Linked DNA regions of Caenorhabditis elegans. The protein of the gene in region 1 interacts with the protein of each later gene in a pairwise test. Each region holds a gene or a part of one and is shown on either strand. Other genes may lie near its edges.

Region 1 (7,964 bases):
GCCTTTAAAGAGCCATTTCAAAATTTGAAAAAAAAAATTACGATACCACGTAGAGTCAGGTTGTCCCATCACGGTGTGATCTACAATAAGTGCGGGTATTTTTGCTCAGAAAAGTGTGACGTCAGCACATTCTTAACCGTGCGACACCAGTTGGAAACTCTACGTCACGTTTCATTTTTTGTAGATCAGACTGTGATGGGACATTCTGACACCACGCGCGATACCGTTTTTGTGTGTTTGTCAATACCATAAAATTTTGCAACTTTAAAATATTTATCTAATTATTAAGTTTATGTGGAATTTAGGTGAACAACGTTCTGGCCACGTGCCGTCTTCCATTCGGAATCAAAATCGAAGAAGTCGCAGCAAAATATCCATCAGAATCCACATATGAGCCTGAACTTTCCGTTGGTCTTGTTTGGAGATCTGTGACACCAAAAGCTACTCTTCGAATTCATACGACTGGCTCAATTACAGTCACTGGAGCTCAATCGGAAGCCGATGTTCTCGAAGTACTCTCAAAGATCTATCCAATTGTTCTAGAATTCCGATGTCTCGAACGAGCCAAAGGAAATGTCGCTGCTCAGAAGAAGAGGAAACGAAAGGCACCTGTTAACAGAGGGTAAAAATTTGTAAAATTCTGGCTTCAATGTAAAAATAAAATAATTTTTTAGACCACCAATCAAACGCGAACGCTTTGATGACAGCAATTATAGAAATTCTGGAGTTATCAATAACCAGGTATGCAAATAAAAAGTGTTTCGGTGGTTTGAAAATAATACAAATTTAATTTTAAAATAACACATTTTTCTTTCAGGTCTATTTCTCTGATGAAGATGAAGATCTGTATGATGAGCTCGATTTAGAAGAATAGTTGTACCTAATTGATGCAGCCTACCCATTCATTGTAATTTTTAAAAAATCTCAATTTGCAATCATTATCTGATTACCTTTCTACATCATCTCGTCATAATTTCTCTAGTTTTAGCTTTCTATCTTCCAGTATATCTTGTTCTTTCAATTGTTCTGTGTGCTTCAAAATTCATGCTTTATCCGCTTTTTTCCTGTTCTTTTCTTTCTCTGTTTGCCGTTACCATCATCAACATCATAAGTCATCATCGAATCAACACAATCTCCTATCCATTTTTTTGTAAAATTAACACAATGATCAGAAAAACAATTCTCGCTTCCTTCTAGCTCTTTCTCTCTCCACATCCCACTATGTGCTCTCTACTTCATGTCTTCATCATGTTCCCCTCAAGCCCAGCAAATCTTAATTTTTCCTTATTTTCCATTATCTATTTTTCCTCATGAATCCCAGTTTTAAAAACAAGTAGCAGATTTTTTTTTGTTCTGAAACAATTCGCAAAAATTCCACAAAAAGTCCTTAAAAACAAACGAGTTCGTATTATAAAACTGTAACCTACCTTTTCCCAAAGTTGTTGTATTTCATTTTAATTATTTTAGAATGTGATTTTTCTACAATTCCCTTTTCATGATTCATCCTTTTTCTAGATTTAGTTATTGTCTCCCTTTACCATTTTTCTCGTTTTTGTCCATTAAATATGTTCATGATTAAATTTCAATGTCCGTATCTTTACAGAAGGTTTATGAATTTTTCAAAGTTACGAATTGTCAAAGAAACCAGAAAATCACAAAAAAGATTCAATTGAAAAAATAAAGAATTATTTACTGTCCAGTGTCCTTACGAGCTGTTGCACGGAACGCTCGTTCTTTTTCAAACTGGCGATTATCAGCTCGGTTTAAGAAGTCCATTTTGTTCAGATAACCGCCTTTCCCTCGGTTATGAGATTCCAAATCTTCCTGAAAAACAAACAATTTATTCAAAAACCTTAAACTTAAAGAAACATACTTTTAAATTATTTTGCGTCGTAAAATCTTTCCAATCTCGATCAGATTTCTCCAAAACAGAAATTTTAGAACGCTTCGACAGTGATTTTGCAGCATCAAGCAAGCCGACTCTTTTCTTTCCGGGTACAATGCTACTTTCAGACGATGTTCCAGCTGTTTCCGTTCTGAAAAAAATTATTAGAAAAATAAGAAAAAGTTGTTTTTAAATTTGTATCAAATAAAAACTCATGTCAACTCACTTTTTCGGATAAACCTTCTGATTTGTAGACTCGTTGGATGCAGATCTGTAAAATACATTTTTAAAAGTTATTTCTACTTGTTTCAAACATACGCTGCTGATTTTGGATACACCCTTTCTTCAGTTTTTGGAATATTCTTGCTTGATGTATCGTTGACAACTGGTTTCGGTGCTAGCCCAGTTAATTCTGCAAATATCGCATCCACATCAACACTTCCTTCAGTACTGTTTGCCTTTTCTGATGTATGGTCGTCACTTTGTTTTTCATTTTTCAGATGTTCAACTTCTTCGTCAATTCCATCTTCGCATTCTTCTTGATCATCGATCTGTTGAGGAGAATGAGCAATAAAAGGGCGATATCTAGGAATGCTTACTTCATCCTTTGGATCAAAATCGGTATCCTTTGTTGGATCGTAATCTTCATCGGACGATGAGTTGTAGTCTTCTTCGTTATTTTTAAGCTCCGAGGTCATTTTTCTGAAACAATTTATATTTTAAATAGTTTCACAATTTCAGTGAGAATTCAAAAGAATAAAATATGAATTAATATATTTATAAAATATGAATTAATTTATATTATAATATTATCTCAAAAAAAGTAGCGCGAGATAATTTTTCTTATTGAAGTACGCAATTGTGCGTGGTATTCAGTGTAAAATTCGACGGAGCGCACATGCTTTATGATGACTTAGCCGCCATTTTTGCATTTCATTGTCGAAATTCACTTCCTTTCATTTTTTCAAAGCACTCCCTTCAAAAACTTCATTTATATTGTTTCAGAACCAAAATGAATGCTCACGACGAAGTCCAGCGCACACTGTAAGTCATTAAACCTATATTCGTTTGAATTAACTCAATTTTTCAGGAATCCTACTTGTACCGGAACATCGGTTATCGCTCTCCAGTATAAAACTGGGGTTGTTGTCCTTACTGATCGAGTTGTTTCCTATGGAAAAATGGCTCGTTACAAGGTTTGAATTTCCGTTCAGCTGAAAGTGGATTTTCATAATATTTGTTTCCAGAATGTTTCTCGTCAATACAAGGTCAATGATAATGTTCTCATTGCCTTCGGAGGAGATCACGCTGACTTCCACTGGCTTCAAAATGTGATCGAGCGTCAGGTTCTTCTCTGGAAGCGCTTCGATCAGGATATTGGACCAAAAGCTCTCCACGGATACCTCACAAGCCTTCTCTACGCCAAGTCTGTTTTCCTAATTAAATTGAAAGTTTAAGTAAAAAATTTCAGACGTTGCAAGATGAACCCAGTGTGGAACACACTTGTTGTCGCCGGAGTCGAAGAGGAGGAGAAGAACAACAAGGAGACTAGCACACCTTTCATCGGTGTCATTACTCAGAAGGTAAACTTGAAAGCGTTAACTTGCCGGATCAGAATCTCATGATTAAATAATCACATAATAATTATTCTAAATTTCAGGGATGCGCATATCAAGTGAAGCACATTGCAACTGGACTTGGAGCGTTCCTCCTCAACCAAGCTGTTGAAGATGAGTGGAGAAAGAAGGGAGAAGACCTCTCCCGTGAAGAGGCAGAAGCCGTGCTTCGCAAATCGCTTGAACTTACTCTCTACCACGACTGCGTCGCTGACAATGAGTTCGAAATCGGACGTGTTGATGCGACAGAAGGTGTCGTTTTGGGTAAAGAAGAGAAGATTATTGGTGACTGGTCGATTGCCGAGACTAACTGTCAATATGAATAAGTTTTCCCCGGTGTGCAGGATGCGTTTCAGTATCTCCATGTTTAACTTATTTGTATCCTTCTTTTCAAAACATTTTACTCTCTCCAACCCACGTTTTCGGTGTAAATTTTATTTATTTTCGCGTGAAGTCGATAAATAAACTTCCATTTAATCCTTCTATTCACGTCTAAGTATTCACACGCATCATTTCACAAGTGCTCGAGTCAAAAATAGCGAGCATGAATTTCTCTGGTTTAAAAAGTATGATGAGTTTTTGGTTTAAAGTAAAATCGAGCGCTTTCAGGTAAACTCCAAAAGCTCAGTTTATCACCATCGCCTGATAAACAGAAATCTGATTATGAAAAGAAACAGGCGAAGAAGATGAGCTACAAAAAGAAGATGCAGCAGCGGTATAAACTGAGTGATGATCAGTATGAAACTCACAAGTAATTAAATAAATTGATGTATATGTAATAACTTATCTGATTTGGTTTCCAGGAAGGATGCTCAGAAACAACTGAAAAATTGGGAAGAATTTCGAAAGGAGCAAGTAGTTGAAATCTTTCATACGCAGTCTCAATACGTTTCGAAATCGAAAAATTCAGACGTGGTAAGCATACAGTATATATATATATATATCTCGCCGCGCAAAGGAAGTGCTTAATTACGGTTTTTACTATCCATCTAAAAAGTTAAAAAGAAATACATTATTTCTTGAAATTCAGCGCCATCCAAAGATGCAACGAGCCAATACGGTTGTCAATCGTCAAGGAGTGAAAGTTGATGTAGAATTTGGACGATTGAAAGAATACTACTTATCCACTTTGGCTCCACAAAAAAAGTTTGTGTCGATTCGTGATCACGTAACATAGAGATTATAGAGAAATTTACTTTAACCATGAACTTTAGGCAGCTCGTGAAAAGGAACTGGACGCTCTTCGTAAGAAACAGAAAATCAGTTTGGAGCAAAGGAAAGATAAACAGGACAACATAAAAAAGTCCCAAGCAGAGTACGATCAGATGAAAAGGTTTCAATGGGTCGAATGGTTTTATGTAGAAATTATCATATTTTAGCTTATACGCTGCCCCTGTCGATCCCAAGCAAACAAAAGTGGAAACAATGGAGCAAAAAGAAGTTTTAGAGCCAACAGCCCCGATGGAGAAATTCGGTAAAACTACGAAACAATACAGAAATCGGAGTGTTTATTTTCAGTTGTGAATACCACTGACGACAAAAGAGCCCTGTTCCCAGCCAGTTGGTATCAACAACCGATTTCCCGTTCGCAATTGAAGAAAGGAAAGATGATTTATTGGATGGCAAAAGACGAAGAGTAATTTTCGTGGCTTGCATCCGTTGGATCTTAATATTTGAATTTCAGAGAGGATATGACGTTGGACGATGATCCAGAGGGAAAGTACACGGTTACTGCTGAAAAGTTGATTGAGACAATGACTGCTGGGGGGAAAGTTAAACATGCTGGAATAACAGAACCACCTAGCAACACAGCAAACACCATCATGTCCGAGTCCTTGGCATCAATTAATGCGAGATACAAGAAGAGTTGTGAAAGAAATGCTGTTTTCATGAATACCTTGCACGGTACTATTGAATTCAACAAGAAACAAGTATCTGTAGATAAAACCCTCTCTACAAGTTCAATAAGCCAGGATGATGCGACCGAGTAAGAATTTCGAAACTGATTTTTCTCTAACGAGTTTTATTTTTAGCGCTCCGAATCAAATCATTTTTGCTCCAACAATCACTTCTCATGTTTTCAAAGGCCGATCTCTGAAAAGACAGTATGCAGTGAAAAATAAGGCACTTGAAACTTTTGAGGAAGATCGGAAGGATTACACTCGAGAGGCTGGAGAAGAAACTAGTGGATTGTAATTTTTTGTATTGAACTAGAAAAATAAAGCCTTAATTTCTTTTATCTAACAAACGTTGAAGAAAAAACACATATTTTCACAAATGAATATGCTTATCGATGTATTAAGCTTCGAGGGCAGCGAGTCTCTTCTTTTCGGCAACCTTAGCCTTTGTATCCTTCGAGACATAATTGGCTGGAACAATGTACCCGAAAATGTAGCGACGTCCAATCATTTCTCCGACAAAGAACCAAAAGACTACCTCGAGGGCAACTGCCGAGTAGACGAGACTTTCCTGAAGTTATTTTTTATTGAGTGTTGTTTCAGCGTGTAACAAATTACCTTGATACTAAGGTTGACATATTGCTTGGTCTCAATAAACTTCTGGAGCTTAGCCCAGTCCGCCTTGATAGCTGGGATGTCAGCAGACCGGGGTGGAGCCAGCTCGTGCTTTCCAACAGCCTTGAGAATAGCGAGACGGCGTGGGAACTGCTGAGCTTGATGACGGTAAAGAGCTCCAAAGGTGTTGGCCAACTTTTCGAAGAAGCTCAGCTTGTGGGTCGCCATCGCTGAAAATTTCGAGTGTGAATGAGAGAATGTGTTTCGAAATTAATAAGGCAATAAAATTGGGAGACGAGGGAATCAATTATTGAATAGATCATTAAAATTTATTTGTTCCTTAAATGAAACTTAATAGAAAGGGAATAATGTTGCCCATGAGTGCTCATTCATTAAAAAAATCCCCCAAAATACAAGCAGCCCGTTTTAATCAAGACAGTAGTATATTTGAATCGTGGTGGGACCCTTTAAGCAATCGAGAAAGAAATCCTTGGTTTTTTTAATTCAGCGAGGCTGTCCGCAGTTGAGCGGCACGGTGTTTGCGGACTTTTACAAACCGTATCTCATTGAGTTCCAAGGCGCCGTGGAAATTTTTTTTGTTTTAATTTTCATGAATGATTAGATTAATTAATATTAAGTCAGTTTTGAACGGTATTTTTGTTCAATTTTCTATAATACTTTCAGATGATAAATCTTCGAAGATTTGTGCACACATCGTGTCGGCTGGAACGAGGAAGAACAGCGTTCTACAACGTTCATCAAAAAGTGGGTGGAAAAAAAAACAAAACTAGCCACAATTTGATATATCATTTTCAGGTCACCGACCCAGCCAAGCAAGATCCGGATTACTTTGAGAAAAAAGCGAGAGAACTGCCACTGGGTGAGTATATTCAAGTACCGAGATATATATCTCTATTAAGTGATTTTCAGATCAAAACTACATCGATGCACTTACGAAGCTTTACTACGAAAAAATTGGCAGTGAACGCGATTTGGGTTTGAAAGCAGCTGATAATTTGGTATGATAATCAAGAGTTTTATAGATATAAGCAATATTCTTGCAGATTCTCGAAAAAACCGAATTCGGATTGCCTCGTATTGAAAAATCGAAAACTCGTGCGAAATATGAAGATTTAGATGTTCTTTCGAATGCTCCAGAGTCTGTCAAAAAGATTTTTAGTGTTGAAATGGCGACGAGAAAAGAGTTGTCACAAGAATGGAAACAAAGTCTTATCAAATCAGTAAGGCAGCATTCTCTCGATGAAAATAGTTTGGAAATGAAAAGTTTGTTTGAGAAATAATCACAAAATATTATCTAAAATTAATTTCAGTTGCCTGGCTAACGGCTTTAATTCGGCATTGGTCTCTTCTTGTTAATGACATTGGACAGGAAACCAAAAAAGTAGTTTAACATTTTAAAAAGGCAATATTTCTAACATTTATTGCAGAAGCCAACATGGCTCACCCATCGAATCTGGCTCGTAATCAATGAACGCCGTAAAGCTCTTCGTATTTTACGTGAACGTAATGAGACTGCATTCGAGAAAACAATTGCCGCTCTGAAAATTTCGTATCATGTACCGAAACAGCCAGCTCATGTGAAAACTAGAAAGGTAAAGTTTGCAAATTGATAACTTTAAACACTAAAAAAACAACAAATTTCAGGCATGGGCCGAAGCACAATTAAAGTTGAGAGTTGAAAATGAAAAAGAGAAGCGATTGGAAGAATTGCACGAAAAGTACGATAAAGAAGTTGAAGAGCATAAAAGAGAGACACAAGAGAAGAGGAAAGCATTGAATAATGAATTGGATAAAGTAAGCAAAATATACACTTTGAAAATACCCTTTTTAAAACTAATTTCTGAAACGTTTCAAATTCAAACGAAATTTCAGCTTGCTCAAGAAATGCGCCAAATTGACGTTATCGAAGGAAAATCGTTTGAAACAGTT
Region 2 (12,111 bases), on another chromosome or scaffold:
CCGGTCTCTCCATCGGCTCCATTGTCTCCGTTGGCTCCTGGCTGTCCTGGGGATCCAGCTCCTCCGTTGTCTCCGGCTGGTCCTTGTGGTCCTTGGGATCCTGGGTTTCCTGGGGCTCCTGGGGATCCGGCTGGTCCAGCTGGTCCGTCTGGTCCTGGGGCTCCTGGGGCTCCGGCTGGGCCTGGAACCTCGTTGACCTTTCCTGGGGCTCCTGGAGCTCCGGCGTTTCCTGGGTGTCCGTCTTGTCCGGCTTGTCCTGGAGCTCCTGGTCCTCCGGCGTTTCCGTTGTTTCCTGGGGCTCCTGGCTGTCCGTCGGATCCTGAGTTTCCGTTTGGTCCCTTTGGTCCAGCTGGTCCGGCTGGTCCTGGTGGTCCGGCTGGGCAGTCAAAGCAGAACTCGTGAGCTGGGGCTGGAGTGGCGGCTGGTCCGTCTGGTCCGTCGTTTCCTGGGGCTCCTGGTTGTCCATCAGCTCCATCTTCTCCGTCTTGTCCTGGGGCTCCTGGTGGTCCAGCAGCAGATACTCCACATCCGCAGCATCCTCCTTGGTGTCCAACGGAAGATCCTTCAACTCCGGCGCTCTCGTATCCAGCTTGACGGCGGGAACGAAGAGCTCCTCCAGAAACCTTGGCGAGAACTTGAGTGCGGGTAACCTCTCTCCAGATGTTTCCAGATCGGGAACGGCAGAAATCAACTTCGGATTGCATAACGGATTGCATGTGTTGCATGTAGTTGTAGAGCATTGGGGCGGCAATGACGCACACCAATGTGGCAGTGAAGGAGACGGCAACTCCGACAAGAGCCGTACGGCGGAGGGAGCTAGCCTCTTGCTCGAGTTGTTTGATATCAGACATCTGGAACGAAAAGTCAGTCTCAGAAAAGAAATATCGTATCTTATCAAAGCTATTCACTCATTTAGAAAAAAGTCATGGACTAAAAGGGATATATTTTCAAGAAAAGTTATCTCTATCTCTACAGTATGTAAGAAAAGAAGGGAGAGGAAACGCTTACCTTAAATTGATGCAATGAAACACCTACCAAATGCCATTCGTAGGCGTCTTTTATACTTACTGGAGGCGGTGTTTATCGCAAGGTGGGTCGGCATGAAAGTCTTTCAGCTTGTGAAACGCAGACTATCAGAATAAGAAAAGCAGCTATGCCAAGGTCAAGCTCTATCGTTCCCTACTCTCTGTCTTATGCTATATCATTGGATCTGACACTAAAGCTGATAGATTGAGGAAGTTTATTTTTGATTAAGCTAATTATCAATGTTCCTAAAAGTTTTTAAAGTAAAAAATACAGGTGAACTGGAAGTCCTGAAGAGAAAGTGTTTTCTTGCGAGTTTATCCATTTCTACTATGTTTTCTTTCATTTAAAACATGGGAAATACCAGTAACACTATTTCGTGAAAATGTTCCTTTCTGCGCAAACCTGGAAGACGTGCCTAAATTGACCTGAAAATTTGTTACACAAAGCAATATTCATTACAACCATTTTTATGATTCATTCATACACCTCAAATATGCACGATGTAATAATCAATGTTTCCTTGTTTTCAAGACAAGGCGCATCGTCTTTGTTTCATTCTTGTAGAATATTTGTCGACTTTTCTCGACGCCATAATTACCCGTCAACCGCCACACAACCCAACCCAATCCTACGACCACATAAGAATAATGAAGCTGATGTGGCATTGCCACATAAGACGTACAATACAGTCGATAGACAACAAAAAAGTTTATTTTTGACCGGGAAACGACTAAAAGGGGTCTTCCACACTTTTGTTTACCTGGTCATCAAGTTGGGCTTTCAGTTGAACAACAACAAAAAACGACCAATTTTGTTTTGTACACTGACCCCCATGACCGCTGAAAGATAACAGAACTTGTTTTTTCTGGAATTTTATATACCAATCAACATTTGATTAAAGAAAAAACAAATTGCTCTTAGTTCAGTTTTATTGATTCTAAGTTATTTCAGTACATATAAATATATTAGTCGACTTTCAGAATTATGTCACATAGTTTTCCCATTTTTACTGTAAAAAAAATTAGAAACGTTTTATTTGGTATTCAAGATAAACTTTTTTAGCTTTTTGAAACTCAAAATGACACCACAAGATCAATCTTCATAACGAGAATTTTCAACTTTTGATCAAATTTTTTTAATGGTGGTTCAAAATTTTGAGCAAATTTTAAATAGCCTTATTATGAAATTCAGCTTTGAAGAATATTTATTTTCCAAAAAAGAAAAGAGTGTAATGCACAAGTACTTGAATATATTCGGAGATGTAAAAAGTTTGATTTTTTTATCAAAAAAAAGACTGAAATGCATAATCTAAAAATTTTGGGGCAATTCTTTGGTGTCTTTTTGAATATCATAAAAATCAAATTATAATTTTTTTGCAGATCAACTTATGATTTTAGGATATCTTATGGCGGTGATAAGCTGGTGGGTAACAAAACACAATTATCAAATTTGCATTTAATAATTTTCTTCCTTTCTAAGTTTAAGTCTTTACACTACTCAATTTCAATAAGAATTTCAAATAGAATTAATATCGTCCATCGCGGCACATATGTGATGTTATCTTGAAGCACTTTAATGCATTCTTGTTTTTTTTTTGATGTGTAGAAATGACACGATAGGAACTACCGTTTCAGTCCCCGCTAGTAAAGGAAGCTCCGTGAAATTACCTTCTACTATTTCTACGACACAACAACTTCCTATTTCCTTGTTTCTTGTTTTCAAGGTAAGCGATTTTATCAATTAGAGAGATATGCTTTTCCGGCAAGCGTTTTGCGACCTTGGCGCTGACCCTGGAAAAAGGAAAAAGGGAAAAAAAAAACGGCGCCGTCTTGCTCTGAGATTGACATCTAAATGACCAAAGTTAGAAGTTTCCAAAGTTGCAATGATACATAGAATTATAGACTCTAGTTAAAGCTTGATCTTCGATCAGTAAAACTTCAGCCATCCGTAGATGTAACAGAATAAAAACGGTCTTCAGTTTTTTTAATTGGCCGACTATGTCAATGACGCAACAAATCGCAGCTTATCGCCGATAAGAAAGATATATTGAGGAACACCACGTACATATTGCGGACACTTTCTCCTCATCAGCTTCCACAGTTGTTCTTCCTTTCGAGGTTCGTTCTGAACCCTCATCATCAGCCTTAGTATCTCAGCCGCTCCTTCATTAGGTCTACACTTGCCATCACCCACACCGATAGCTGCCCTTGAAAAAACCGGCGTCACCTCAAACCTTGTCTGCGACTCATTATCTTCATCATCTTTTCTCGCTTCAACCCAAGCCCCGGAGGACCGCTTTCTTCTGTTTTTTACATGCGCTGGGAAAGAGAGAAATGAGAAAAAACCCTATCTGTTCGGTTTTTTTCTGTTTCACTTCCTCGAGGAAGTCATTAAAAAATGCCACCAAGGTGGTAGGGATAAATGAAAAAAAAAGAAGCGTAAATAAGGAAATTTGGGTTTTTCGTCGACATTTCAAACATTATCAAAACACCTGTCAGCTATAATTGTATTAATTCCCAAATAAATCGAAATTAGCAAGTCGCCGTAAATGTCGTATTTGGAACGGTATTAAACATTTAATAAGTGACGTAATCTGCTTGTTCCAATCAGCATCAAGAGGAAAAAGTCTACAAAAAACCTTCATCTCACTATGGGAATTAGAACAGTGAAAATTACAAAAATGTCGTGGTATATCATCTGGGAAAAAAGTTTTTTCGGGTAAAACTATCTGCATGAAATGATCAAAAAACACTTGAAAATCCGACAAACACAATAGATCAAGTGGTTGAGAGATGTGCTCCAGCATCGTGTCTATCCGGAAAATCAAAAACGTGCCCTTTCAGTGTTTTCCGCCAGGGCCGTCATAGCAAAGAAGATTATGGCGGCAACATGATGGTCTGAATTGTGCTATTCTTTCATTTGGGTACAATTGTTTTTTGTGCGTTGTGCGTCTATGAAATTGAAACAAAGTGGAAATGAAATGAATGTGCCAAGGAAAAAAGGAATTAAAGAAAGTATTGAAAAGTTGAAAGTTAATCTGCAAAATAAATAATATATGTAGTGCCGAATTTGGAAAATCACATATTTTTTGGCCATACTGAAAAATTGCGATTATTAAGTATGCCGAAACTGATTTTGAACTCAGTGTCTGAGCAACTTTTGTAACTTTTCAATTAAAAGTAATGACATACTAAAAATGTAAAAAAAACACATGTAGTAGCCATATTCCTAAAAAGTTGTTTTATTAAAAAACAAGTATGACCGCTTTACAGTGTGAATTTCGGAAATAGTAAGTTTTTAACCTGTGTTGAACAAGCCTTAAAACATATCTTTATTCTAAAAAAGTTCATAAATTTTTGGATTTGCAGAACCTCAATGGCTCATTCCTTATTACCAGAACCTCCCTTTGCACTCAAATCGGGTTAATGTCGTCATTCATAAATGAATCAAGTAAAACTGTTTGCAGATTCGACATGACTCATACTCCTGTAAATTGTCTAATTTTCACCAACTCCTCATATTTTGCCATGATATTTCCGCATCGCGAGGGGGTCTTCCATGTGCGTCGGCAGAGCGTCTCTGCGGAAACTGGTCTAATGCTCGACGAGCCGATGCCGCCTCATATAAACGGACGTGCTGCGATATACAGTCTCCGGAAATCTAACATAGCGAGTCAAGAAATCCAGACAGTTTGTCTCTATTCATTCCATATTTTAAATTATATATTTTATACTAATTTATTCATAATTTATATATGAGATGGAGTTATATATTTCTATGTTACCATTTTTAACTATTTTGTTACTGCCACACCCTTCACAAGGTAAATTTTTTCGTGATATTTTGATTAATAGTATCAAATCACTGTATCAAATCATATTTATCTAGACACATTGTGTCAAAAGAAGTCAAATAGCATTCTGTTATTATTATATGATTTAAAACACAGATGAGATATTAAACTATAAAATTTTGATAATCTTAAATACCTTAATTGGAGCATATTTCTTTCCTTTAAGTTGAATCTGGACACGAAATTTGTCATTCAAAAAGAGCAGATTTCTCAACAAACAAAAAAGAGTTCGAATTTCTTGATTTCCACCGCGCGGACGGAAAGAAAAAACAAACGAAAACGTTTCAAGTACTTTTTCTCGTCTTTGTAGTCTCCTTCTAGCCTCTCATCATAAAGTTATTCAGGTCAATTACGAGCAAAATTGATTCATGATTTTCAATTAAAGATGAATCCCATCAAACTTCCGCGTTCCAGTTTATCTAGTTCAAGGGCGACAAATAGTAGTAGTACGCACAAAAAACCGTTTCTGTGGTGGCTATCACTTGCAAGATCGGTATCATGTCATTTCTGATTTTAAATCCCAAGGCATTCAAGAACATACTCAAGGTCGGATTCGCTTAGTGGCATCTAGAGGTTCAAAGAACCAAACCCTAAGACAGAAAAATGAGTAAAAGGACAGTGACAAGTGAAACATCACTATAAACTAAAAAACTTATAAACTTAACTTCGAATCGGGCACTCAAATATTTAAATTTTAGGGATCGAAAACTCTCCGTCCGCTGGAAAGGTGTGCATGACAGTTGAACATCTAAGACCTGCGGATAACTCGACACAATTTTACGAGTGTGCGCCACTCAATGAGGATGAAGTAAAAGGATACGCGCTGAGCAAGAAATACCTGGGTGTCTGGAACCTACGAGACTGTCCCAAGGAACACGAGTTTGACGAGCCGAAACAACGATGTATCGAGAAGAAGACATTCAGAAGGTGAGTTTTGAAGAAGGAGTAGGAAACATTTTGTAGATAATTTTACGTAGAGAAAAAATCTGAATTTTTTAGAGTTTCAGCGATTCCCCCAAACTTAATATTCTTTTTTCAAAAGTGGAGTAGGGCCAGTGGTGGTGAAATTGTGAAAAAAAAACTGAGTGGTGAAATTGTGAAAATGTGGTGTACAAATTACCAAATATCACAGTGAAACTGTTTACATAATTTGAAAAAATTATCTATTGACAGTTAAAAGGTGCATACAATGATTGAATATCAGTATGTATATGAAACATAAAGAAACCATTAAATTCAAAAGAAATAACTTTCTAATAGACGATTTCTAAAAAAAGTATCAAAAACTGATTACCACTTTCTGAAACAATATAAAGAATTTCTCATTTTGGCACCAAAAGAGTGGTTTTTAACAATTTCCCCACTGTCGCAGTTTTATATTTAAGTAAACTTCTTCAGAACTCAGAGTAAATATTTTTTAGGCAACAAGTCGCTTGCGCACAAAATGTTCAGGCATCCGGATGTGTCTCTGCTTGTCAAGGTATTTCAAAAATTGATTGAACAGAGTCAAAAAGTCTTCTTTATTCAGCCCCAACCGCAGTTGCTAACCAGGGTATGGAATGTAATTGGCGTTCGTCCCCACTTCAACAAGATCCTGCAAGCAACGCATACTTCTTCCAGTGCGTCCCATCCTCGCCTACTGAAGGATGTGGAGAATGGACACGTATGCAATGCTCCCAATCGACAGTTTTTAATTCTGATTTGAATGTTTGTGTACCACTTGCCATCCAGAACTCATGTGATAGTTCCACCCAACAGCCTGTTTGTAGCTGTTCTCAAGTTTCCAGCTCTTGCCCAGGAACTTCCCAATGTCAAAACGTAGGTTTTGATGTATATTAGGAATTAAAAAACAAATTTTAAAATTTTATTACAGAAAGTTTGTTGCCAACAAACGGATACTCTAAACTTGAACAATTTGATTCAACATCAAGCTCCCCGTAAGTTGAAAGATTGGAAAAATACCTATTTCTTGATCATTTTACAGTCTGCCCCGGTTCAAATGTGCCACCACTTGGTTCATGCAACGAGCAGTGTCCGCAGTGTGAGAAAAAAAAGCTAACAACTAAAACTTCTAAAAAACAATGTAAACATTTCAGACTCTGCTTGTACCCCAGGATTGGGATGCTGCCCAGTTCCAGTGAATGAGCAACCAACAGGAATGATTAAAATTAGTAAGTAAATATAAAAATATTGCTGCGAGCACTATTGACTGTGCACATTGTACACTTTGCGGACCTTGCGGACTTCACTGTCCTGCAAATATAAAAAATTGTATCGATTTCTGGGACTGTATGTTGTATACATTATGTGATACGGTTTCTTGCAATTTCAAATAAATTTCTGTAACCGTGCCCAAAAAATAAGTTTTCCATTTATTTTTATTAAAAATGGTAATTTGATCAAAACATGAGGTTACGTTGCTTAGCCTAAAGTTGTAAAAGAGATCACGGTATTTTTCATCAGTTACAATTTTTTGAATCTTGGGCATCTTTTTCATACGATTTTTTCCAGCTCTCTGCCCTGGCTCTTACTCCCCACCGTTTGGAGTTTGTGGATCTTGCCCATCTGGAACACAATGCAACCAACAACTTCAAATGTGTTGTCCTCTACAACAACAACCATCCACAGATATTGTCTACAATGTTGTACTTCTTTGTCCTGACGGAACACCATCGACAACTTCTTGCTCCAAAGGATGTGGGCCAAACAATGCTTGTTTCCAGGGAGCTTGTTGCCCGATTCGTTGCCCAGTTGGACAGGTGGGCAATTTCTTATTTAAATAAGAAAGTACAAAAGTCAAATATTAAATTTTAGAACGCTGTGGGATTCTGCTCTTCTGGATCTTGCGGAGTTGGAAGTTGTTACTCCAAAACAACATGTTGTCAAGAGCCAATTAAACTCCCGGTGTGCTCGAACGGCATGATTTCTCAAAAACGTTGCCTGGTCGCAGCCGAATGTGGCCTGAACCTTGAGTGTTCAAACGGTGGGTGCTGTCCAATACCGTTCTGTCCAAATGGAGTAACAGCCCGTGGCCGATGTTCTCAAGTGAACGGATGTCCAATGGGGCAAGCTTGTATGGAAGGTCTTTGCTGTCCACTGCCAAAATGCTCCAATGGTATAACATCTCTCGGAATTTGCACAAGAACCTTGGATTGTGGTCGAATCGGTGTTGACTGTAACAACGGAGCATGCTGCCCACTACCAACTTGCCCGAACAATATTGCATCGTCACAAAGATGTTCGGGTGGATGTACGAACTGTTGTCCAGTAGGACAGACATGTATGAACGGTGGTTGCTGCGATCTTCCGTCGTGTCCATCTGGTGGATTTGCAATTTCAATGTGCACTGGGAAATGTGGAACTGGCTTTGAATGTGTGAACAGCGGTTGTTGTTCTCTTCCAAGATGCCCAAGTGGTCTAATGTCGGTTCAGAGGTGTGCAATGGGAATCGGGTGCCCACCAGGAAATGTAAGTTTTGGGTTCAGTTAGTTTATTACGCAGCTTTCAATTTTTTTTACTACTGACGTTCAAAATTTGATAACTACAAAGCACGACTCGACAATCAAACAAACAAATTTTTTGTAGCAATGCGAAAATGGTGTTTGCTGTCCAATGCCAATGTGCTCCAGCGGAAGTATTGCGTCGTCTGTTTGCGGAATGGCTAACTCTTGTCCGATAGGTTACATTTGCGAAGGTTGTTTTTTCTTACTGAAAAAATTAAACAAACATGTTTCTTGCAGGCCGCGGATGCTGCTTGGAGCCACTTCCTTTGTGTCCAAATGGAGGAAGAGCTTCAATGAGATGCTATCGGGGAGCAGAATGCCCACCAGGTTATGGATGCACTCCACTAGGTACTTAAAATGAATTCAAAGAAATTAATCTGAGCATATACTTACAGGAGGTTGTTGTCTTCTCTCAATGGAACCAGTGTGTCCAACCAGATCCAACGCAGTTTGCCAATGCTCACCCAACAATGTTTGTCCGTCAGGCGCGAGCTGTACTATGGGCACGTGTTGTTCGAGCGGAATAAGCCCTATTGTCTCGTTCAGTGTTCCTGGCACAAGTTGCCAGAATTCGAACCAGTGTAATGGATTCCAAAGCACGTGCGCACAATGTGTTCAAGAAGTTTGTTCATGTGTCAATGGGGCAGCGTCGAATGGAGCAACGTGTGAACAAATGGCACCGACAGTTTTGACGTTGGCAAGAAACGGATGTGATCAATATGGTTCTCCATGCAAATTCCTTTTGTCGACAGCACGACGACGCCCACTTTTTGCACCGATTGGCAATATGACTGAAACTCCACGTAAGAATAGTTATACGAGTATATTTTCAAAAGTTCAAAAATTACAGTGTTCTTCAACGTGGCATCCAAAAGAAAATGTGTCGCCAACATTCAAAATTTTGATGCCGACTCAACATGTCTTCCAAACGAAAAATGTATTGACGGAGAATGCAGGATGTAATGCTCTTTAGGAAGGCAATATTTATATGGTTTTTTTTTCAGGAAACTGTGGCCTGGAGAATACGGTTGCCAAACCGACATTGAATGCCAGTCTAGATGCCCGAACACCTACTGCGAAAAGAAGAAGAGTGATAAAAATGTTCCACAATGCCAATGCACGAATGGAATGCTTCTCTATGGAAGATGCTGTTAGTTTCTAAGAACCTGGAAGTTAATGTCTAATTTCTGTTTCAGTCTCCCAGTGTCCACGAGGATTCCACGAGTCTGGAGCATTCTGTATGCACGACGATGAAGACAAATTTTGGATGGATGCTGAATCCCAAGATAATCTGAAAGCTCTTTTAAATGCTGGCAAATGTTGATCTCATGAAACGCCAAAAGCTCCGCTATAAATGTATATATGGACTTATATGAAAATGTATTGATGTTTAATTAATATTAACATGAAATAAAAATATTTATCCGCAATATTATTGTTTTCAAACCTCATATGACACCTGAAAAAAAAACAAAAAAGTCCTAGACCTGGATGCCAGCACAGTAGAGTATACCTACATTTTATTAAATGTTTATTATAATAAATCAACTTTAAAATACGTCTTAAAGATGAAACATGAAACATAGCGGGTAATGCCGGTTTCATCAGTCTGACGCATTTTGGCTTCAAGACGTCAAAGTTAATTTTGAATAGACTTTGACTCTCAAGAAAATCTGAAATCTCTTTTCATTGCTCGTAAACGTTCGTCTCATGAAAACGTAAGTGCTCCGTTATAATTGTGATTATGGAACTGTACAAAAAAGTTTTATTTTTATTTTTTTAAGAAAACAATTAAATGGAAATATAACTTATCAGCAATATGATGTGGTCTTACAAAATAAAACCAAATGGAAAGAAAAGAGAATTAAACATTCGGATACAGTTCAACATCAAAGGTATGTAAAATTTTTAAAAATCCGTATGAACAAAAATATGAAACCAGTTGAAAGAGTGAAAAAGATCGTGTTTCTATATTGAGATAACTATGTCTTAAGTATAGTTTTAGATTTCACGTTCTGTGAAATGTCGGTGAAGTTTAATATTCTATTTAGTTTTAACAATTGAACAAAACGTTAATATATTTGATCATTTAAAAAATCTCAAATCTAATACTATTCCTAAACAAAAGGTGTTGGGAAAATAGTTGTCACACATCTCGCAGTTAACTGATATGTTTAGATCCAATTAAAACAATTTCCGGCCTAATTTCTTAAAGTCTAATGCATTTTTTGAGAAAATGACATAAATGGAACGCCGCATTCAATCGTGAGAACAGTTGTTACTTGAATCGCCAATGATGTTCAGAGGGAGGGATCTGAATCTGAACCTTTGAAATGCTTTAGTGAGATGCTCTTAGAAACAAAGGACCTTACGATAGATGCATGACACGGAGACATGAAATACAAAGAGATGATAGACAAAAACGAACGCTGTGAGGCACGATAATGCAATTGTGAAACACCCTACTGTCATATTCACACTGTGCCTTACATCTACCGATTTTCACTTACCTTGTTCTCGGCTGATTTGCACTATCTTTTCCACTGATTCCATCTTTGTATTTGCACGACAGAAAGCACAACTTCTTTTTCATTTCTTTGCGAAAATGTTTACTGCAACAAAAATAAAATTGAATACCTAGAATACTCTACTCCTTACCTGCTCATGCAAAAAAGTATGAAATTTGCAACTTTGGAGCATGTGACAACGGTTGTGGAAACTTGAACACTTGTGTACATCCATCTTGTTGAGTAAAGAACGTTATGAAACAGGTTGCTGAAATTAGTATACTTTTCTTGTGCTTTTTCAAAAACTTCTAGAAATTAAATTGAAATAATTGCTGTTTTTACTTCCTGAGATCAAAAAATTAAAACAAAAACTTACATGTAAACATATAGGCATGCAGATGGAATATGTGAAACAATGTAGCATGTGACAATTGCTATGACCGTATAAGTTACATGACGTTCGGCTTTGTTCACATGGCGATTCCAAACACCACTGAAAATTGCAAAATTGAATAATACAAATTATGAGTCACTAAGTTTTGCACCTGTTAGAAGAATGATGTCGCACTACTTCCGATCGATCGGTTACGTTGGATAAAAGTGGAGCAGGGACGTCATCGGATCTTGTCGAGTTTCTTGCACTTCTTGTTCGAGCCGGAAAGAAGTGCTAAATATCTTTAAGTTTTTTCTACTGACTTTTTGATGATTTGTTTGTTACCCTAAATCGGTTACGAAGATAATACAGCAAGCAAGTATGAAATGATATTAAAAGAATCATTGGGATCAGAATGTGGAAGATGAACATGAAAACTGTCATTACTTGGATCAAAGTGATTCTGTTATCTTCAATATTTTCCATCTGAAAATTTCATTATAGTTTCAATAATGAAATTATTGTTCTAACCGTTGAATTCGTAAAATTTCCAGAGCCTGCATGGTCATCAAGCAGTTTGAAATTCATATGAAAGCAGCTTGCACCCGTGAAGAAAAGGATTAGTGGAATCGCAACAAGGTTATGTCTTGGGCAAATTCTGAAAAAAAGAACTAGTTCAAGAATAACAACGAAAAACTGAGTTACGTTTGCAGTCGAGCAGAAAATGGAGCCTTTATCGCGTATAGTCGGTCAAATGATACCGTCACAATGAACCTGGAATGTGCTCTTTTAAACTATAAGAATGGAGTTTTATGTTTCAATACCAAGTGCTAGCCGCAGAAAACCAGT

The links.
Region 2: the proteins of pbs-7 (region 1) and chtb-3 interact in a two-hybrid assay, tested with the Caenorhabditis elegans proteins (2 studies listed by BioGRID).

What each region holds. Positions count from the first base shown.
Region 1 is NC_003279.8:8,691,226-8,699,189, reverse strand, and holds pbs-7 (Proteasome subunit beta), read left to right. Parts: upstream 1-2,888; 5' UTR 2,889-2,897; coding exon 2,898-2,929; intron 2,930-2,975; coding exon 2,976-3,081; intron 3,082-3,132; coding exon 3,133-3,311; intron 3,312-3,356; coding exon 3,357-3,468; intron 3,469-3,545; coding exon 3,546-3,827; 3' UTR 3,828-3,985; downstream 3,986-7,964. Other genes in the region: tlf-1 (TATA box-binding protein-like 1), read left to right, coding at 306-622, 675-741, 818-874; F39H11.1 (Craniofacial development protein 1), read right to left, coding at 1,690-1,824, 1,874-2,036, 2,112-2,156, 2,204-2,436, 2,485-2,583; K07A12.5 (Pre-mRNA-splicing factor SYF2), read left to right, coding at 4,046-4,067, 4,111-4,252, 4,305-4,416, 4,532-4,669, 4,716-4,834, 4,881-4,975, 5,020-5,137, 5,186-5,488 and 1 more; asg-1 (putative ATP synthase subunit g 1, mitochondrial), read right to left, coding at 5,800-5,970, 6,018-6,242; mrps-15 (Small ribosomal subunit protein uS15m), read left to right, coding at 6,699-6,779, 6,831-6,894, 6,945-7,033, 7,079-7,298, 7,346-7,416, 7,463-7,627, 7,680-7,829, 7,908-7,964.
Region 2 is NC_003284.9:6,312,228-6,324,338, reverse strand, and holds chtb-3 (EB domain-containing protein), read left to right. Parts: upstream 1-4,692; 5' UTR 4,693-4,785; coding exon 4,786-4,849; intron 4,850-5,577; coding exon 5,578-5,806; intron 5,807-6,300; coding exon 6,301-6,359; intron 6,360-6,407; coding exon 6,408-6,697; intron 6,698-6,752; coding exon 6,753-6,816; intron 6,817-6,863; coding exon 6,864-6,920; intron 6,921-6,975; coding exon 6,976-7,050; intron 7,051-7,390; coding exon 7,391-7,638; intron 7,639-7,693; coding exon 7,694-8,347; intron 8,348-8,464; coding exon 8,465-8,573; intron 8,574-8,619; coding exon 8,620-8,730; intron 8,731-8,777; coding exon 8,778-9,185; intron 9,186-9,232; coding exon 9,233-9,341; intron 9,342-9,386; coding exon 9,387-9,532; intron 9,533-9,578; coding exon 9,579-9,706; 3' UTR 9,707-9,810; downstream 9,811-12,111. Other genes in the region: col-167 (Nematode cuticle collagen N-terminal domain-containing protein), read right to left, coding at 1-851; npr-38 (G-protein coupled receptors family 1 profile domain-containing protein), read right to left, coding at 10,642-10,708, 10,893-10,994, 11,041-11,157, 11,266-11,382, 11,435-11,556, 11,608-11,748, 11,794-11,920, 11,968-12,036 and 1 more.